3 linked regions of the Saccharomyces cerevisiae S288C genome follow. The protein of the gene in region 2 interacts with the protein of the main gene of each other region in a pairwise test. Each region holds a gene or a part of one and is shown on either strand. Other genes may lie near its edges. The genes, in order: NOP13, NOP4 and TMA16.

Region 1 (6,397 bases), on a different chromosome or scaffold from region 2:
TCTTGTAAAACCCACCATTAATTTTACAATTAGCTTCATATATTTCCCTTTTCAAAGGAGATAATAAGCTCTGTGATGCTAATTGTTCCGGTTGCTGCAACGATATGATATGTTGCTGTAGTAGTTTATCGTTTTCTATGGTTATTGAATCCCTATTAACTTCAGGAGCCTCTCCAGAAGAATCAGAAGCAATCGCTAACCTATTAGAGAAGCTGCCTGCATCTTCATCCCCCCTGTTTTTTCCTTCCTTTGGTTTATTTTCTGTAATGCTTCCGAATAGTGATCCTCCTGAATTATTAAGACTTATTGGCGTTACATGAATCCAACGTCTACTTACAGAAGAAAGTAGAGCCCTAGAAATGACACCGACCTGAGATATTCTTGCCGTGTGGAAGTTCATTTTCTTTAATAAAAAAGATAGGGTGAGGTGAGGTTCTCTGACTTGCTATGCGGCTCCTAATGGCGTATGTTAAAATGCCTTCCAGATTGGATAGTTGACTTTTATTCAAAATCCCGAGTACAGTGAAGGCTTAGTTACCCCGCCCACAGAAGATTAATAGAATATCATGAGTACTGTTCAAGCAGCAAGCAGGAGAAAAGACTGAAAGAGTTTCGTATAATTTAGTATTTATTTATTTAGGAGAACTAAAATATTTTCTTTATACACAAAGAACAAAGTTTTCTTTTTTTTTCATTGCAGAATGGTATCATTGTTTTTTATGCCTTTTAAAAGGCCTTGTCGTTCTTCACTATTGGCAATAAAGATGTTTTTATGATTTTTAATAGTAGTGTTATTCAGCAAGAGCTGATTTTGCTTAATTAGTAAACATCATACTAATAGACTGAAGTCATCGTCATATAATTTCCCTCAAGAACCCTTGTGAATTGTTCTGAACTGTATTTCTCTCATCATGAGAGATGTCATTATCTAAACCACGTCCGAGTCGTATCGAATTTGAAGATAAAGTAGAAAAGCCACCTTGAGTAGATGAACCCAATGACGAATATGTAAATGAAGAGCCATAGGAAAATCTGTTTTCCTGGTCCATGAAATTACTCCGCATATTTTGAAAGGAGCCATTCATTGCGGTAACATTCCTTGGTGGTGGCACTGGAGGAGGATTTCCTCTTGCCTTAAAATTGAATTCGTTGCTGAACGGATTATTAGCAGAAGCAGTCTCGGTGTTTCGTTGCTGTGATCCCGAGTCTTGAGCTTGAAGTGACGCCTCTTTTGCTTGGGCAGTTGTTGGGAATCCCGTTCTGCGCCCAATCTCGTGACAGAAGGAATCGTTTTCCTTGAAATGCCTCTTTGCCTTCCTTTTTCTAACCAGCATGAACCAAACTACTAGTACACATATAAGAATACCACCGACGCTTCCTACCACACTTCCAACAATGGTACCAGTATTTGTCTTTGAAGTGCCTTGGTTTTTGTTATTATCCAAACTGCCATCAAGCCAGTGCTGATAGAAAGACATGTCAGCTGTGATCGTCGAAGATGGAGCGGAAAATGAGGTTACCTCACTTTTTGCAACTGCTATGGTCGTAGGTAATCCCGTCACGAACGTTGTAGAGGAGTCAGTAATATCATATGTTTGGGTATAGAAATAATAAATAGTTTTTGAATCTTCGGAGCTTGAAATGGCTACCGTATTGAAGACCTGACTGGATGTTGGTATGGGAGACGTAGAAATCGTACTAGTGCTGGGTGTTTGAGTGGTGGGTGGTATACTGCTGCTAGTAGTAGATTGTAAGGACTGAAAAGTATACGTGCTTGAGTAAGCACTTGTTGTATCATCTGATGATGATGATGATGAAGGACGGTTTGAAGGTACTTTACTGCTGGATGAGCTAACAGAACTTGACGTTGGCACGGAAATCGTGCTTATGGAAACTGTCGAAGATGAAGCTGATGGACTGAGTTTCGATGATTTGCTTATGGTTGAAAAATCGTTCGTCGATGAAAGCGATGAACTGTAAAACGATGTGGAAGTATTCCGACTGGAACTTGGGAATGTGGTATCTTTATTTGATATCGTAGAAGGAGAAGAAATTGTTGAGAACCAACTAGAAGAGAGTTCTGAAGTGGTACTAATTTGAAATGAAGTTGCAGATATGGAAGACAAGTATGTGTAACTAGGGGATATTACGGTGGGTGTTGATGGTGAGAAAATAGAAGATCTGCTGTCGAACGAAAACAATTTAGTGTCTGAATATGATGAAGATAGTGATAATGACAACGAGGACGATACCAGTAACGAAGATGGTGATGATAACGACGACCATGATGATGACAGCGATGTAGCTGATGACGATAACGTTGGTGTTGTTGATGTTAACGATGACCATTCCGACGTTATTGACGACGATGATGACATTGGTGACGTCGATGAGAAAATGGACATGGATGGTGTAATTATTGAGTATGAGGAGGTAGCTGGGTCATATTGGGAACTATACGTATCTTGCTCGCTCGATGAACTGCTGTCGGTAGATGATACTAAAGTACTTGTCGAAGATACATCAATGGATGTATGCAAAGTCTCATCATATGTTAAGCTTGTAGAATAATATGTAGGAGTAGCTGTACTAGACACGGGCGGTAATGAGGTCAGACTTCCTTGTTGGGGTACTAAAGTTGAAGTAGATGCGAAGACAACATCCGTTGATCGTGAATTCAGACTGCTACTTGGTTCACTGAATGACAGGGATATCGTATCAGATTCTCCAAGGGTGGTCCTTCCGATGGTACTATTGGAGTTCATACGATGGCCAAAATAATTACTCTATCCAGCTTTTCTTTTAGATTTCCTTCAGATATCGACGGATGGGGATTGAAATACTAAATGTGTGTCTTAAGCGAAAGTGTGCCAACAACCAGTCCAAAAAACGGATCAGTAGTGTTTCGGTACCTGGTGAGTAGTTTAGGATTTTATGAGTGTACGGCGATTATCAGTGTATTACTAATATGCGAACCGCTCCTAAAGATCTTGTTTACCTCATTTCTTTCTTCTTTTTTTTTTTTTTTTCCGTGCGTTCTCCCCGTGCCTTGATAAGCAATAATGGAAAAAATAAAAATAGCAGCAATTGGTTATACAATGTATATATAAAACATGAATGATTGAATAATTTACAAGCGAAATAATCGCATTATATACGTGGCACCTACAGTCAGTTCACGCTGATTAGTCAAACTTCACTTTCTTACCTTGTGATGGGACAATAGCTGCAGAACCTCTCTGAGCAGTGGCTAAAGCTACACTGCTCTTAGTTCGGTTATTGGAATCTACAGGTGGACGTCTGTTGGCGTTGGACCGCTTGTATTCGGGTTTGCTGCCGTTATCCTGTCCCGCACGATCGTATCCTTTGTTGTTAGAGATATCAAATGATGAGGAATTGTTTCTGGATACATTTTCAACCTTCTTACGAACTTGTCTTTTACTTCTATCTTCACCGTATTCCATTCGCAATGGCCTTCCGGCAATTTTTCTACAACTTTTATCCTTTAATGCATTAGTAGATCCTTCTTCATTCTTGAAGTCGATAAATGCGAATCCTTTACATTTACCACTATCTTCGAATGTTGCCATGCGGATTTTCACGATATCACCACAATGTTGGAAGTGTTTTCTTAACAGATCATCTGTGACATCGAATGACAAATTACCGACAAATAGAATCCTTGACGGTGGATTTTTGGACATGGCAACTAAATCGTCCTTGTCTGGCCTACCTGAATAATTTTCGGAGTCCTTGATTAGCATATTCCTTCCGTTTAAATGAGATTCAGATAATTCTAAGACCGCTTTCATCTGCTCGACGTTCTTGAAAAACATGTAGCAAAATCCCTTATTTTTCATGGCGTTAGAGTTCTTGGCAGCAACACGAGGCATGGATAACCTGGTTATGTCTTGTTCGGTGACTCTGCTCTTTTCATCTTCGTTGTCTTTTGTTTTAGCAATAAAAAATCTTACTAAATCGTCCTTTGTGGTGTCGAAGGATAAGTTACCAATCCAAACACCATATTTATTTTCATCTTTCTTCTTCTTTTTTACAACCTCGCCAGATTCATCTCCTGTTGGAGTGTTGATTGTAGATTCTTCACCCTGGGCGTCTTTCTCAGAAGCACCAGACTTTTTCTTTTCAGCATCTTCTTTGTATTCCTCGATTGACTTAGGGTCGATATTGTACTTCGCATTCAACTCCTCTAGAGTAACTTTACCTCTTCTCAAGAGACGTTTCTGTTTTTTTGATAGGGGAATGGAGCTTTTCAGGTCAATCTCAATTTCATCTTCAGCTTTTCTCTTTTTTGTTGGATCGAGTAAAGCCTTCTTGACTTGTTCCTCGTTATCCTTTTTTGTAACAGCATCTTCTTTCGACAGTTCTGTTTCTGACATTCTATCTCAAATTATAGAAAGTTGTTGGGTTTAGGTAATGTTCTGTGGGGAAAAGGATTTCTCTTTGTTGTATGGTTAAATTTATCATCTATGCTCATCGCAATTTTTTCTTTCAGACTGAAAAATTTCAGGTTTTTGCATTTCAACGGGAAACGTGACTCCTACAGAATTTTCTGAGCAAAGGCGTACAAGCGAAATACAAAGACAAGCATGTGCTTTCGGCAAAAGTGCGATCCTACATCAGAGTTTACATACAACATGGTATTGTTATTAATACATAATTAGGTTTTACATAGTTAGGTATGGCGAGTACGTCATATATTTAGGTATTCTCCTGATTGTTTTCACTTCAAAAGCTGGGCCAACTTTTTAAAGAACCCTCCATTCTTAGCAGGGTTCTTTTGGACACCTTTATTTGGTGTTTCTTTCGTGCCCTTAGGTTTCGAAGGTCTAGTAGCTTTCTTAGCTTCGATTTTTTTTGCGGCAGCGGTAGGAGCGCCCTGTTTCGTCTCGTAAGTTTGAGTCTCAGTCGCAACCTTGCCGGTTGGTTTCACAGAAGTCTCTTTAGCATGGCTTGTAATTGAGCTTACAGGTACTTTTTCTTCCGGTTTTTCAAATTTAGCGGATTTACTTAATGGTTCCTTATTTTGATCTTCTGAAGCTTCAGCGTCTGCACTTGTACTGGTGTCCTTACCGCCGCCTTTATCTTCGTCCTCTTCCTCTTCTTCCTTTTCAAGATCTTCGGCCGATAGTTCATATAATCTAGACTCAGAAGATTGCGTCTTACCCAAACCGTCCGTAACATATCCTTCACTCTTAACTAGATTAACTTTGGGGTGATTCTCTTCATACGGCTTGATTGCTTTTTCCTCGTTTACACCAACATTATTCTCAATTATCGTTGTAGTACCGCTTAAGCCATCCGCATTCTTGCCCGTTTTGTTCACCTGCTGGGTTTCATCCTCGCTATCGGGCAATTCAACCACTTCTTGGGAAAATATCGACCTTTCTCCGGTTTGTTTATTTGTCTTGATCACTCTCTTGATCTTGAACTTTCTTAATTTTTTTGCACGTTTTTCAGCTTCTGGTTCGATAAGAGGGGCATTCTTTGAAACAGCTAATCCGGCACTTTCAGGTACCAGCGTGCTAGAGCCATTTTCGCGTTGCTTTATTACGTCTTCCTCGGTAATAAAGTTGTTTTCCACTCCCTCGTCGATGTTCACCTTGTAGTCTTTGCTTGGCAGCCATTGGCCATCAACAATAAACTTGAAATAAAACTTGCTGCTAGGGCTATCAAACGTTACTGGCAGCGTTATTTCGAAGGCGCCACTGGGGTCCTTCACCATCGGCAAAGTACCTTTCCAGTCGTCGAACGTGCCTGTCAGAATAATTGCTTCGGGTCCTTTGGGCCATTTGAACGTAAATTGAGGTAAGCTCGATTGCATTCTAGAAACACTTTCCCTTTAATATTATCTTATAATGCTTAGAAAGTTAAATACCATCAAGAGAAAGAAAATTAGGTAATACAGAGGACAGAAGGACAGAAGTCGTTTCTATATTACATAAAAATCGGCCACCTTTTATTTTTTTAAACCACAAGAGAGGGGGAGAATGATGGATGTAAAACCTTAACCATGTCAATGCAAGGGCTCCCGCCCCAAAAGTTCCTATCGGGCCCCTTCGCTTCGCTGCCCCAGATATTTGCGGAAAAGGCCAGCCTCGCAGTATTTCACCAATGCCCTTACTTTGATAGTATGTATTTTGACTACTTTTTTTCATTTTTATCGCTTCTTTTTACTTTGTGCGGTGTAAACCCTACACAAAATAGGGCTTTCATTTAGTATTTACATTTGCACAAAAGTAGAGAAGATACGTAATAGTCATTGAAAGCATCGACATTTTTGGTGCTTGCTGACAAATTCACGGTGACAAAGTGAGCTAGAATATTGCTTATCGATAATCAGTGTGTTATAGCAGCGTTTTAATCTGTTTTTCCTTTC
Region 2 (6,397 bases):
ACTTGGATTCTACACCAGATGATATATGTTGGTGTGGCAATGATACCGTTGCTTGTTCTTTCGAGGACGAAATCAAATTATACGGCCCAGATGGTTTGTATGTAACATTTTGGTACCCTTTTACTGTAACTAACCTAAGGGCAGAGGTTGATGGGTTGAAGGTTATTACCACTGAAAAGATTTACTTTCTATCCAGGGTACAACCTCAGACTTCTAATATATTTAGAATTGGCTCAACCGAGCCTGGTGCAATGCTTGTTGACTCATTTAGTTTACTGGAGGATCATGCACCCAAAGCAATTGAAATATTAAAGAATTTTGTCTTAGAGAAGGGTGTACTGGACTGTATTGCTGCTGCAATAGACGAATTTGAACCTAAACTACAGAAGATGTTGTTGAACGCTGCATCTTATGGAAAAGCTTCTTTGCAGTACAAGTCATTTGACGCTAGTATATTTGTGAATGCGTGTAATACGATAAAATTATTAAACTGCTTCAGAAGTTTTGGTATTTTTTTGACTGTGGAGGAATACAGGTGTATTTCTTTGAAAGGTGTCATTGATAGGCTGTTGAAGTATCACAGATATTATGAGTGCATACAGATATGCAAATTGGCCAATGAACGATTTCTGTTAGGATACGTGTTTACTGAGTGGGCAAAGGATAAAATCAAGGGTAGTCCTGACATGGAAGATGATGAGTTACTAGACAAAATCAAATCTCGACTAAGTGTTATAGATATGACGGATACATTACAAATGGTAGCAGTTGCGAAAGTTGCATATCTTGAAGGAAGGTTCCAGTTATCCCGTAATTTAGCTTTATTAGAGAAAAACGAAGAAGCTAGAATTGAGCAACTGTATAATCTTGATGATGATAGTATAGCGCTAAAGGAGTGTATCAAAGTACAAAATTACAGTCTGACAATTTCATTACTGATTGCACTTTCCAAAAAGCTGACAAACTCTCAACTGACGAAGCTTTTGATCATTGATATGTTCAACAATCCCTTATATCTCTATTATATGAGAATGGATAAAGCATACTTGTACGATTTTTACCGCCAAACTGACCGATTTATTGACTTGGCTCACGTATTACTGCAGCAGGGAAAAGAACAGCAATCTTTACACAGCTTTTTACCGCAAATTAAGGACCTTTATAGCCAAGTTCAAAACAGTGAAGTGGTCAACAATACAATAGAACAACTTCAAAGACAGGAAAAGTTGTGGATATACCAAGAATCATTAGGCAAAAGATTTGCTATATCATTCACTAATATGACTTTAGATCAAACGCTTTCGAAGTTAATAGAAACAGGGCAAGATAAACAGGTGAAAGAAATAGTTAAAAAGTTCAAAATAAGCGAAAAAAAGCTGTATCACCTGAAATGTAAAACGTTAGTCGAAGCTAAGAAGTTTGACGAACTACTACAGTTTGCTCAGTCGCGGAAATCACCAATTGGTTACATGCCTTTCTACACATACTTAAAAAGCAGAGGCCATATGGATAAAGCTAGTCCTTATGTTAATATGATACCTGGCCTTTCGTATCAGGAAAAGAAAAAGCTTTATGTGGAGTGCAGGGGTTTTCGTGATGCAATTCAACTAGCAGGAAAGGAAAAAGACATTCCAGGCTTAAAGGAGATATATAATATTATACCACCTAATGAGCCGGAATTAAAGGCATTAGCAAATGAAACTATGAGCAGGATATAGAACTCATAATTTATAGACGTTGTGGATATCTAGCCGCATATCAAATAATTAAATGCTGCCATTACGTTTGTGCGGTTATATATGTTGGCTCCCTATAGGGTTACCCATGGAACGGCGAAGGAAAAAAAAAATAATTTTCACTGAAAAATTTCAAGAGTCTATCTCATCTCATCGTTTATTCTGAATTAAATACTACATACAAAATCTTTTTATTAGTAAAATAGTGAGATTTCTTCGTGAACTAGTGAAAAGCTATCAATATTACCAATCTACCAAAGTGAGATGGAAGAAACAATAGAAAATGTTGAAGTGCCTTCTAGTAATGTCTCAAAACAAAATGACGACGGCCTAGATATGAAGACTTTGTTTGTGAGGTCTATACCCCAGGATGTCACAGATGAGCAGCTGGCAGATTTCTTTTCCAATTTTGCTCCGATCAAGCATGCGGTAGTTGTTAAGGACACGAATAAAAGGTCCAGGGGCTTCGGGTTCGTTAGTTTTGCTGTAGAGGATGACACAAAAGAAGCCCTAGCTAAGGCCAGAAAGACCAAATTTAACGGACATATCTTGAGGGTAGACATTGCTAAAAGAAGAGATCGTTCAAAGAAAACATCAGAAGTGGTTGAAAAGAGCACACCTGAGTCATCTGAGAAAATAACGGGCCAGAACAATGAAGATGAGGACGATGCTGATGGTGAAGACTCCATGCTAAAAGGTAAACCGAAATTAATTATCAGAAATATGCCATGGAGTTGTCGTGATCCAGTTAAATTGAAAAAGATCTTTGGTAGATATGGTACCGTCGTGGAGGCTACCATTCCAAGGAAGCGTGATGGTAAATTGTGTGGATTTGCGTTTGTTACTATGAAGAAAATCAGTAATTGTAGAATTGCTTTGGAAAACACCAAAGACTTGAAAATTGATGGTAGAAAGGTGGCTGTTGATTTTGCTGTTCAAAAAAACAGATGGGAAGATTACAAAAAAGCCCAGCCAGAAATGAATGACAAAGATGATAACGAGTCAGGAAATGAAGATGCTGAAGAAAACCATGACGACGAAGAAGATGAAAATGAAGAGGAAGATAGACAAGTAGATCAAGCTTCAAAAAACAAAGAATCGAAACGTAAAGCACAAAACAAAAGGGAAGATTTTTCTGTTTTTGTTCGTAACGTCCCTTATGATGCCACTGAAGAATCTTTGGCTCCGCACTTCAGTAAATTTGGCAGCGTTAAATACGCATTACCTGTTATCGATAAGTCTACGGGGTTGGCTAAAGGTACGGCCTTTGTAGCCTTCAAAGACCAATATACATATAACGAGTGTATCAAAAATGCGCCTGCGGCTGGCTCTACCTCTTTATTGATAGGTGATGATGTCATGCCTGAGTATGTGTATGAAGGTCGTGTTCTGTCCATTACTCCAACGTTAGTAAGAGAGGATGCTGGAAGAATGGCAGAAAAGAACGCCGCCAAAAGAAAGGAGGCCCTAGGTAAAGCGCCAGGCGAAAAAGATAGACGTAACTTATATTTGCTGAATGAAGGTAGAGTTGTTGAAGGCTCAAAAATGGCTGATTTGTTAACCAACACTGACATGGAGATCAGAGAAAAATCTTACAAATTAAGAGTGGAGCAACTGAAAAAGAACCCATCTTTGCATTTGTCGATGACTAGGTTGGCTATCAGAAATCTTCCTAGAGCAATGAATGATAAAGCATTAAAGGCGTTAGCTCGTAAAGCTGTCGTGGAATTTGCTACAGAAGTTAAAAATAAGGAAAGACATCCATTGAGTAAAGAAGAGATTATCAGATCTACAAAGGAAAAATACAAGTTCATGGGTCCAGATGAGATTGAAGCTCAAAAAAAGAAAGACAAAAAAAGTGGTGTTGTCAAGCAAGCAAAAGTTATAATGGAAGTTAAAGGATCAACTGCGGGAAGAAGTAGAGGTTACGGTTTTGTAGAATTCAGAGATCATAAAAACGCTTTGATGGGCTTAAGGTGGTTGAATTGTCATGCCGTTACCTCCGATGAAATTTTAGAGGGTTTGAATGATGATGAAAAGAAACAAGTAGACAATGACTTAGGCAAAGGAAGACGTCTTTGTGTTGAATTTGCGATTGAGAACTCTAACGTCGTAAAGAGAAGAAGGGAACAATTGAAGCAAGCAAGAACCAAGAGAACAAGACCAGATAATGAAGATACTGGAGATGTCGGAGAATCCGAGAATAAGAAGCCAAAAAAAGAAGAAGCAACGACGCCCACCAATCCCGATGACAAAAAGATGGGCGATGATATAAAGAGAATAATCGGGTTCAAGCGTAAGAGAAAGCACGCAAAAAAATAGAGGTAGAACCATATTTATAGGAATTTCGATTTGTATTCTCTTTACGTATGTACATTATTTTTCAAAGAGTAGATAGATGAATCTCTAACGTACTCGAAAGCTTTTATGTCGTTATTTTAGTACTGTTTTACGAGAAGCGCGAGAAACTCTCTACATATACTGTCCAGCATCTCAGTAAATCATACTGAAACCTTATTACCAGTATCGCTCCTAGACGTTCCGTTTGAAGTAATAGGCAAGACGAGAATTATTTATTTCCCATGATATACATAATGGTTATAAGTAGACCGCAAATAAAAGTATGTAAAATTAGCTATGTTTCTACATTGTTTGTGCAATGACTTTTAGGTTCGGCTGGTCATTAATAACTAGGTGATGCTGAATTCACGTATCTTATTAGATACATTTAGAATTCATGACTTCTCCTTTGTATGAGCGTGTCCCTCCTTTTCTTGATGGTTTCAGCCCTTCTACATACTACACAATGTACTTTGTTAACCGATGATAACTCTACTTTATACGTAGTTTAGACTTTGAACGGGATGAACTGGTTGTTTCATCCAATGTTTTCGTAAAGTCATTCTTTTTTATGGAAAATGTACAAAGTTGTTTATATTTTTTGCTATGGTTATTAACCTGAATACCATTAACAGATGTGTTATAATGGGAACATATTACTATTGCCGATAAGTTACGAACAAACCTACTACTACCATTATATAAAAATTAAGGGGGGTACTTGAAGTCTTTTCTTTCTTCTTTTTTGGGAATGCATGAGATATTCATATGTTTTAAAGCCCCATTAGTTGAGATGAATTATGACGAAATTCGCATACATCTGCGGAGAACAGGGTTTTAGCTCGACCTAAAATCAACCCATTATTTTACCTGAATGTTGCAGACTTGCATTCTTAGTGCCTCTAAAGCGAAAAATTGAAACTGTATGCCGATTTAAATACTATAAAGATAAAAAAAAGTTTAATGAATATAATAGTGACAGTGCTGTGGAATGAAAAATTCCAAATATATATAAAAATAGAAGCCTATCTTCTGTTTTTCTTTCGAGATGGCTCATCTGATGCATTGTTTCCTGACACCGCAGCAGCGGCTGCTGCTGCCGCGGCCAGAATTCTACGGTTAACACCAAGCCCACCTAACGCATTTGCAGCGGCACCTGCGGTGATTCCTGAAGCTTGTGTATTGTTTTTCGTTCTTGATCCAAGATTCATGATGTCATTATCGTTCGTGTGAATTCTTCTTGCCGGGTATTTGTAAGTTAGACCTTCAAATACATTTTCACTAACAGGAATATCACTTTCTGTGAAGTACTTATGTTCCAACGCATTAAATGCATCTATTCTTTTAATTGGATCATAATTTAACAAGTGGTAAAGTAAGCTTAAAGCATGCTTGTCCCTTCCTCCCGCGGAATGATACCATGTAGCAAGGTTATCCCTATACTTTGGAAACTTCGTAATTTGATCATATTCTGGATACTTCTCCAAATAAGGCCAAATTTTTTGATCGGGAGTGCCAAGAACTTCCAAAATTCTCTGTAGTTGATTCACTTGAAATGGAACAGTCTTTTTAGAGTCTAGTTTAGCTTCTTCACCTTTAAATATGGGCTGTAATCCTATCAGTTCTGCAAAAATGCAGCCAACGGACCATAAATCAACCGCAGGGGTATAGTGCCGTGCTCCCAATAGCAACTCAGGTGCACGGTACCATATAGTGACAACCACTTTATCCCCAGTATAGAGGGTTTGCAGCATATTATGAAATTTTCTGGCCAAACCTAAATCACCAATTTTAACACATCCATCTATGGTCACCATTATATTTGCGGGTTTCAAATCTCGATGAAGCACCCAATTTTGATGAAGATACGATACGCCGTCTAAAAGCTGCCACATAATAGACCGAACCATTCTTGGTGGTATCATCCTTTTTTCGGGATGGGAATGGAAGTGGATAATTTGTAGCAGATCATGCTCCGCATATTCGTATACCATATGGACACATTTCCTTTCCAAAAAAATTTCCACTAATGTGGTTAAATGCTTGTTGTGCAATTCTCGACATAATGCCATTTCTCTACAGGCACTCTGAGATATTCCCGTATAATGCAATTGTTCGACGCCATCCTTCTCTGTCTTGAACTTTTTAATGGCATAAAATACCGTCAGCGGTTTTTTAATGAGGGTTTGTTTTTGGGAATTATAGTGCGGGGATACATCTTCCCTCGTAGTTCGTATTCTTCCGGGGGTCACTCCTTCATCCTTTAACAAGTTTCTTCTTAATGCGTTTGTATTTGCCTGCATGTCCATTGAAGAGCTTGA
Region 3 (5,624 bases), on a different chromosome or scaffold from region 2:
GTTATGGCTATAATAGCGTGCTGTAGGTTACTTGGAGTTATAGTGACGGGGAACAGTTCCACCCTACCGACCTCGTTATCGAAAACATTGCTAGGTTTCCAAATAGTTAAATCCTCATAATCAACACCAATAGCATAAGGACTCAAGGCTGTATCAAGAGAGCCGTAAAAGTACTCTCTTATGGATGTCCTCTGCAAGGATCTTTTGTATACATCATCAACTGCGGATACACCATCCAATTTAGGAATGAAAAAAATATTATTATTTCCCAATTCTGGACCAAATGTCTTTTTTACTTTCTCCCAAAGAGGATCCGTTTCAGAACATAGTACTAGCATAATGTTAACATTGAGTTTCTCAATGATATGGTGCAGTTCAGCCAAATTTTCATCCAGTTGTGATATTGATGGCGTATCGACAATGCACCCTGATCTCCTGACTTGAGGATCCAAATGTAACCTTTGACCTACTACTTGACCTAACTGGCTTATACACTCAAGGTATAGATCTTTGTTCTCATTAATCCTTTCCAGGCCAAAATTTTTCACCATTGGCTGCTTATTATGTAGTAGTGTGGCACCACTAGTGAGACTCTGACCCCAAGTGGGTAGTTGTGCATCAAGTATATCTGATATTGGGGTGGCAGATATGCATCCAGGAACAGTAAAAATGGGCTGTTGAGGGTCAAGATTGATGTATAGTGGTTGGTAAGCGTTGAATTTCAAAGCGTAAGAACATAGTGTCCTCGATAGGGAAGTCTTCCCGGTTTGCGAACCACCAACAATCACCACTCGAGGGCCTTCAAAGTTAGACATTCGTATCTTCTCCAACATGAAGTGTAGATTATAAATATATTTCATAGTATGGTTAGGCTTGACAGTTATTGTATTCGTAGTTAAATCAGGACATTTCCATAATAATTCTGTTTCTTCGACAGCGTATATGGGAAACTTCCAGTTCTGAAAAGTGTACTCATCATCTACTGCCAACTCGGTGCCAAATATCTCAACTATGCCCGAGTTTACCTTGACTATCAGTTTTCCCTCTGCTTTAAGATCAATTTGCCAATCACTGCCCTTGGGAATAACCAACTTGTGCCATTCGTTATCACCAGTTATCAATTCTTCAGAGGTAGTATGCTCATCAATACCAGGTAGACTTGCCATGATGGTTTAATCGTGTTGGAATTTCGAAAAGAATTAATAGTTTGTTCTTTTCCCTCGATAGAAAGGTCTCTGCTCATTTTTGCCAGCAGTCTTATTTTTTGCTGTTATTTTCTATTTTACCGGGCAATAACAATGAAGAGCACAAATAAGACAAAGAAAGGGAGATCGCCCTTTAAGTAAGTAGATAGATAATTAATATATGTAGCTAAATAAATCGACTTGTCAAGAATATATTTCTCTTATTAATCTCTGTTTTCAGCAATCCACTCGGGCCCGGATTTCAAGACCCACTCGGTCCAGGATCCATCATATAATCTAACATTGGGAACTCCTGCTAGCTCCAATGCTGTCTTGATAATGACTCCTGAAACGCCAGTTCCACAAGAGCAAATAGTTGGTTTACTTGGGTCCAAAGTGCAATGAAAGTCTTTCAATGCCTTTTCCAAAGTAGCGTGTATCGCCTCCCCAGCTTCTGGGTACGTTTTGGTCTCCGGATCAAGTAAACTTCCATATGGTAATGGTTGGGTACCTGGAATATGCCCCGATGGAATGTCGGAACGAGGCTCTGGTTCTGTACCTTCGAATCTACCGAGCGACCTTGCATCGAAAGCATTGAATTTCTTAGCCAGTTCCCCACTCTTTACCAATTGGAACATTTCCTCATAGTCTACAATCTCCTTGTCTTGGAAACTTTCTGAGGACTCATAATGACTCTTTGGATAGGGTGAAAACGCTGCCACCTTAGAGGAATCTAGAGGGTACTTAAACTCTCTGTACTGGTTGAAATTATTTAGTAAGTACACCTTAGGATGTCCCATCACTCCTAATGTCCAAGCACATCTAGGGGAGCTAAAGTTACCAACACGATCGTAAACCACTAATATATCATCTTTTTGAACTCCTAAATTACTCATAGCGTCGTCAAAAACCTTCTTTGTAGGGAACATATGTGGATAGGGCGATTTTTTGTCACTGATTGCATCAATATCAAAGAAAATGGAGTTTGGTATACGTGGTTTGGTCAAGAAATCCACTTTATTATCAAGCTTCCAACTGGGTAGGTACCATGTTGCATCAACTGGAACGATTCTATGAACCTTCTCACTGGCCACTAACTTAACAAACGCTTTTGGAGAAATAAGATCAAATAATGGCATTGAATGTATGGGCAATTTTCTTCACAACTTTATGCTTTTGTCCTCATTGTTTGAATGCACTTACGCTGTATTATTGTACACAGCTGAACATCCCGAGCGAAAATTTTAAAATGGTTTAATAGACGAGATGAGAGATGAGCTCTTTAAAGGTACTTTCTAAGAAGAAAAGTATCGGAACAGGACTTACCACGACAAACTAATCATGCCGGTTACTAAATCTTTATCTAAGTTGCAAAAGAACTTATCCAAGAAAGGGAAAAATATCACGGTTCATCCGAAGGGTAGAAAGTATGAAAAGCTGGTCAGGGCTACTATGCGTGAAGATAAAATCGCAGCCAAAAAGAAGCTTCATCAAGACAAAAGAGTCCACGAACTAGCTCGGGTAAAATTTATGCAGGATGTAGTTAACTCTGATACATTCAAAGGGCAACCAATATTTGATCACGCCCACACAAGAGAGTTTATTCAAAGTTTTATTGAAAGAGATGATACGGAATTAGACGAACTCAAGAAGAAGAGGAGGTCAAACAGGCCACCAAGCAATAGACAAGTGCTACTGCAACAAAGGAGGGATCAAGAGTTAAAAGAATTTAAGGCGGGGTTTCTCTGTCCAGACTTGAGTGATGCGAAGAATATGGAATTTCTAAGAAACTGGAATGGCACTTTTGGCCTTTTGAATACTCTAAGATTGATCAGAATTAATGATAAAGGTGAACAAGTCGTTGGAGGAAATGAATAAGAAGTGTCGCAGAGGAATCTTTATGGTTTATATGCTCTTTATATAATTTTATGTATATTATAGTAGAAAAAGCAAAGAAAAAAAAGAAAATTGATATTATTAGCGAAGCTTTTTCACAAATTAATCCGTAACAAACAAATTGGCAAAGACAATTGAAGGGAGTAGTGCGAAATATGGGCCGTGATATATGCACATTAGACAATGTTTACGCTAACAATTTGGGCATGCTAACCAAACTAGCTCATGTGACAGTACCAAACTTATATCAAGATGCCTTCTTCAGTGCATTATTCGCTGAGGATAGCTTAGTTGCAAAAAATAAAAAGCCATCTTCGAAGAAGGATGTACATTTCACACAGATGGCTTATTACAGTGAAATACCAGTGGGTGGTTTGGTTGCTAAATTAGTTCCTAAAAAACAAAACGAACTATCTCTCAAGGGCATTCAAATCGAATTTTTGGGCGTGTTGCCTAATTATAGGCACAAATCCATCGGTTCAAAATTACTGAAGTTTGCAGAAGACAAATGCTCAGAATGTCATCAACATAACGTGTTTGTCTATTTACCAGCAGTGGATGATCTTACAAAGCAATGGTTTATAGCTCATGGCTTCGAACAAGTGGGCGAAACTGTCAACAATTTCATAAAAGGTGTAAATGGCGACGAACAAGATGCTATCTTATTGAAAAAACACATTTCTTAACAGATGGCTGAAAAATTTTTTTTTTTTTTTTGGTTTTGCTTTGTATACACATGTATCTATTTTTATAAAGATGAAATATATACGTCTAAGAGCTAAAATGAAAAACTATACTAATCACTTATATCTATTCTGGTGATTCATCATCTTCAGCTTCTGTATCCGTATCGATATCAGTATAATCGCTAGCATCACTTTCATCATCACTTTCGGTTTCGTCGTCATCAGTAGAGTACTCATCATCCTCCTCAGAATACACCTCTACTTGTTCCACTGCAGGAGAATCACGAACTTTCATATTCATGGTAATATCCAAATCTGTAGTGAAATAATCTGTGGATTTAACGATTACTCTAAAAAAGAAATCACCAACAGTTTCAGGTGCAGGCTGACCTAATGGAATTTTTATGGTCCCGATTTCCCAATCATTTATATCGAATTTTTCGTGTTTGGTTAAATCCATTTTTATCCTCTTATCAAAGAAATCTTTGTCATCGTTCAAGTTCTTGTAAGATAGCTTTTCAATGATAATTGGCGTTTGAAGTATTTTACCATCTTTTTGAGAACTTACCAGACAGCACCAACTCCCACGTCTCTTTGTAGGGAAAAATGGTGCAAAGGAATATGGGACGAGTGGCTGTTTACTCATCATAGCAAATGGATCTCTTTGAGATTCAAAATCTTGAGGTTCTGTTAAATTTTCTTCAGGAATTAAGCTAGTTGGTATCAATGGCTGTTTAGCAGAACGAACCAGTACTTTCAAAGAAATGTATGGGGTAGATGATGGTGTTACTTGGTTCTCACCTGGGACAAGGAAGTCTGCCTTGATGATCTTTAGATTTGGAATATGCGATGCAACTCTCAAAGTTTCGTTTAACTTTGCTTGATCCTTTATTCCAAGAACCTCACCAATCTTGGCATCTTCTAAAGTAAACAATTTACCTAATGTATGAATATCTCCGGTTTTGGTAATAAAGTGCTCTTTATCTACGTTCGGCAATTGAAGGATTTGACAGTTTGGTGTTAATGGTACAGCCTGAACAATACACTTGAAAGTATTGATTGCACCCAATGCAATATCTAAATTTCTGAATCCACAAGCAATATCCAATAAACCGTGTAACAAAGAGTGACATTTGGCCACTATTCTAAATTTCGCATTGTTAAGTTTACCACTATCTCTGCGGTTAATATGATCTTGCAAAAGTTTTTCAAAATCCGTTGGTTGCAAATCCGGGAAGAATTGTTTAAATTCATGAGCAAATGATAACCAGTGTAAGATCAAATCTGTGGTGACAATCTCAGATGGCTTGTAATTGACTAAGTTACTAACAAAATTAGAAGCCGTCACATTATGTATTCCCTTCTTAGTATACGATTGTGTTCTTGCCCACCATCTACTAACAAAATATGGCAAGATTAAACCTAGTAGCGCAACATAACAAACCACTAATAATGGAGATGCACTTCCATCTACCAAAAATCTTGGTAGAGCGATACCATGTGAAGTAGATTGTGGGCCATCTGGATGACCGTATTTCAAATAGTTTTGCCTAACCAATTCGTCAGTAAGGGATTCGTAAGCCTTCGTAATCTGAACATAAGTTTCTTCCATCACACTTTTCTCATCAGGTGTTAGGCCCTTTGCTAATTTATCTGGATGAAATTTAACAGATAATTTTCTATAAGCAGATTTGATGTCTCTATCGGAAGCACTAGTAGAGATACCAAGGATTTCATAAGGATCAAATAATTTTGTAGCAGCGTCTTTAATCGCGTCATTACTATTAATCCTTTGCAGAAGAATTGCAACTAAGATCCAACCCACAATAATTATAATATTTCTCCTGCTCCATATTTT

Evidence for each region.
Region 1: the proteins of NOP4 (region 2) and NOP13 interact in binary tests that used the Saccharomyces cerevisiae proteins (3 or more experiments, as listed by UniProt).
Region 3: the proteins of NOP4 (region 2) and TMA16 interact in binary tests that used the Saccharomyces cerevisiae proteins (3 or more experiments, as listed by UniProt).

What each region holds. Positions count from the first base shown.
Region 1 is NC_001146.8:304,216-310,612, forward strand, and holds NOP13 (Nop13p), read right to left. Parts: upstream 4,398-6,397; coding exon 3,186-4,397; downstream 1-3,185. Other genes in the region: mitochondrial 54S ribosomal protein uL22m MRPL22, read right to left, coding at 1-400; TDA7 (Tda7p), read right to left, coding at 855-2,765; MDG1 (Mdg1p), read right to left, coding at 4,742-5,842.
Region 2 is NC_001148.4:467,939-474,335, forward strand, and holds NOP4 (mRNA-binding ribosome biosynthesis protein NOP4), read left to right. Parts: upstream 1-2,000; coding exon 2,001-4,058; downstream 4,059-6,397. Other genes in the region: tethering complex subunit VPS16, read left to right, coding at 1-1,718; cyclin-dependent serine/threonine protein kinase SSN3, read right to left, coding at 5,102-6,397. UniProt on the Saccharomyces cerevisiae protein: Required for 60S ribosomal subunit synthesis. Probably involved in the processing of 27S rRNA to produce mature 25S rRNA.
Region 3 is NC_001147.6:801,142-806,765, forward strand, and holds TMA16 (Tma16p), read left to right. Parts: upstream 1-2,525; coding exon 2,526-3,062; downstream 3,063-5,624. Other genes in the region: cleavage polyadenylation factor subunit CLP1, read right to left, coding at 1-1,166; TUM1 (thiosulfate sulfurtransferase), read right to left, coding at 1,409-2,323; peptide alpha-N-acetyltransferase subunit NAT5, read left to right, coding at 3,236-3,766; protein-transporting protein SEC63, read right to left, coding at 3,891-5,624.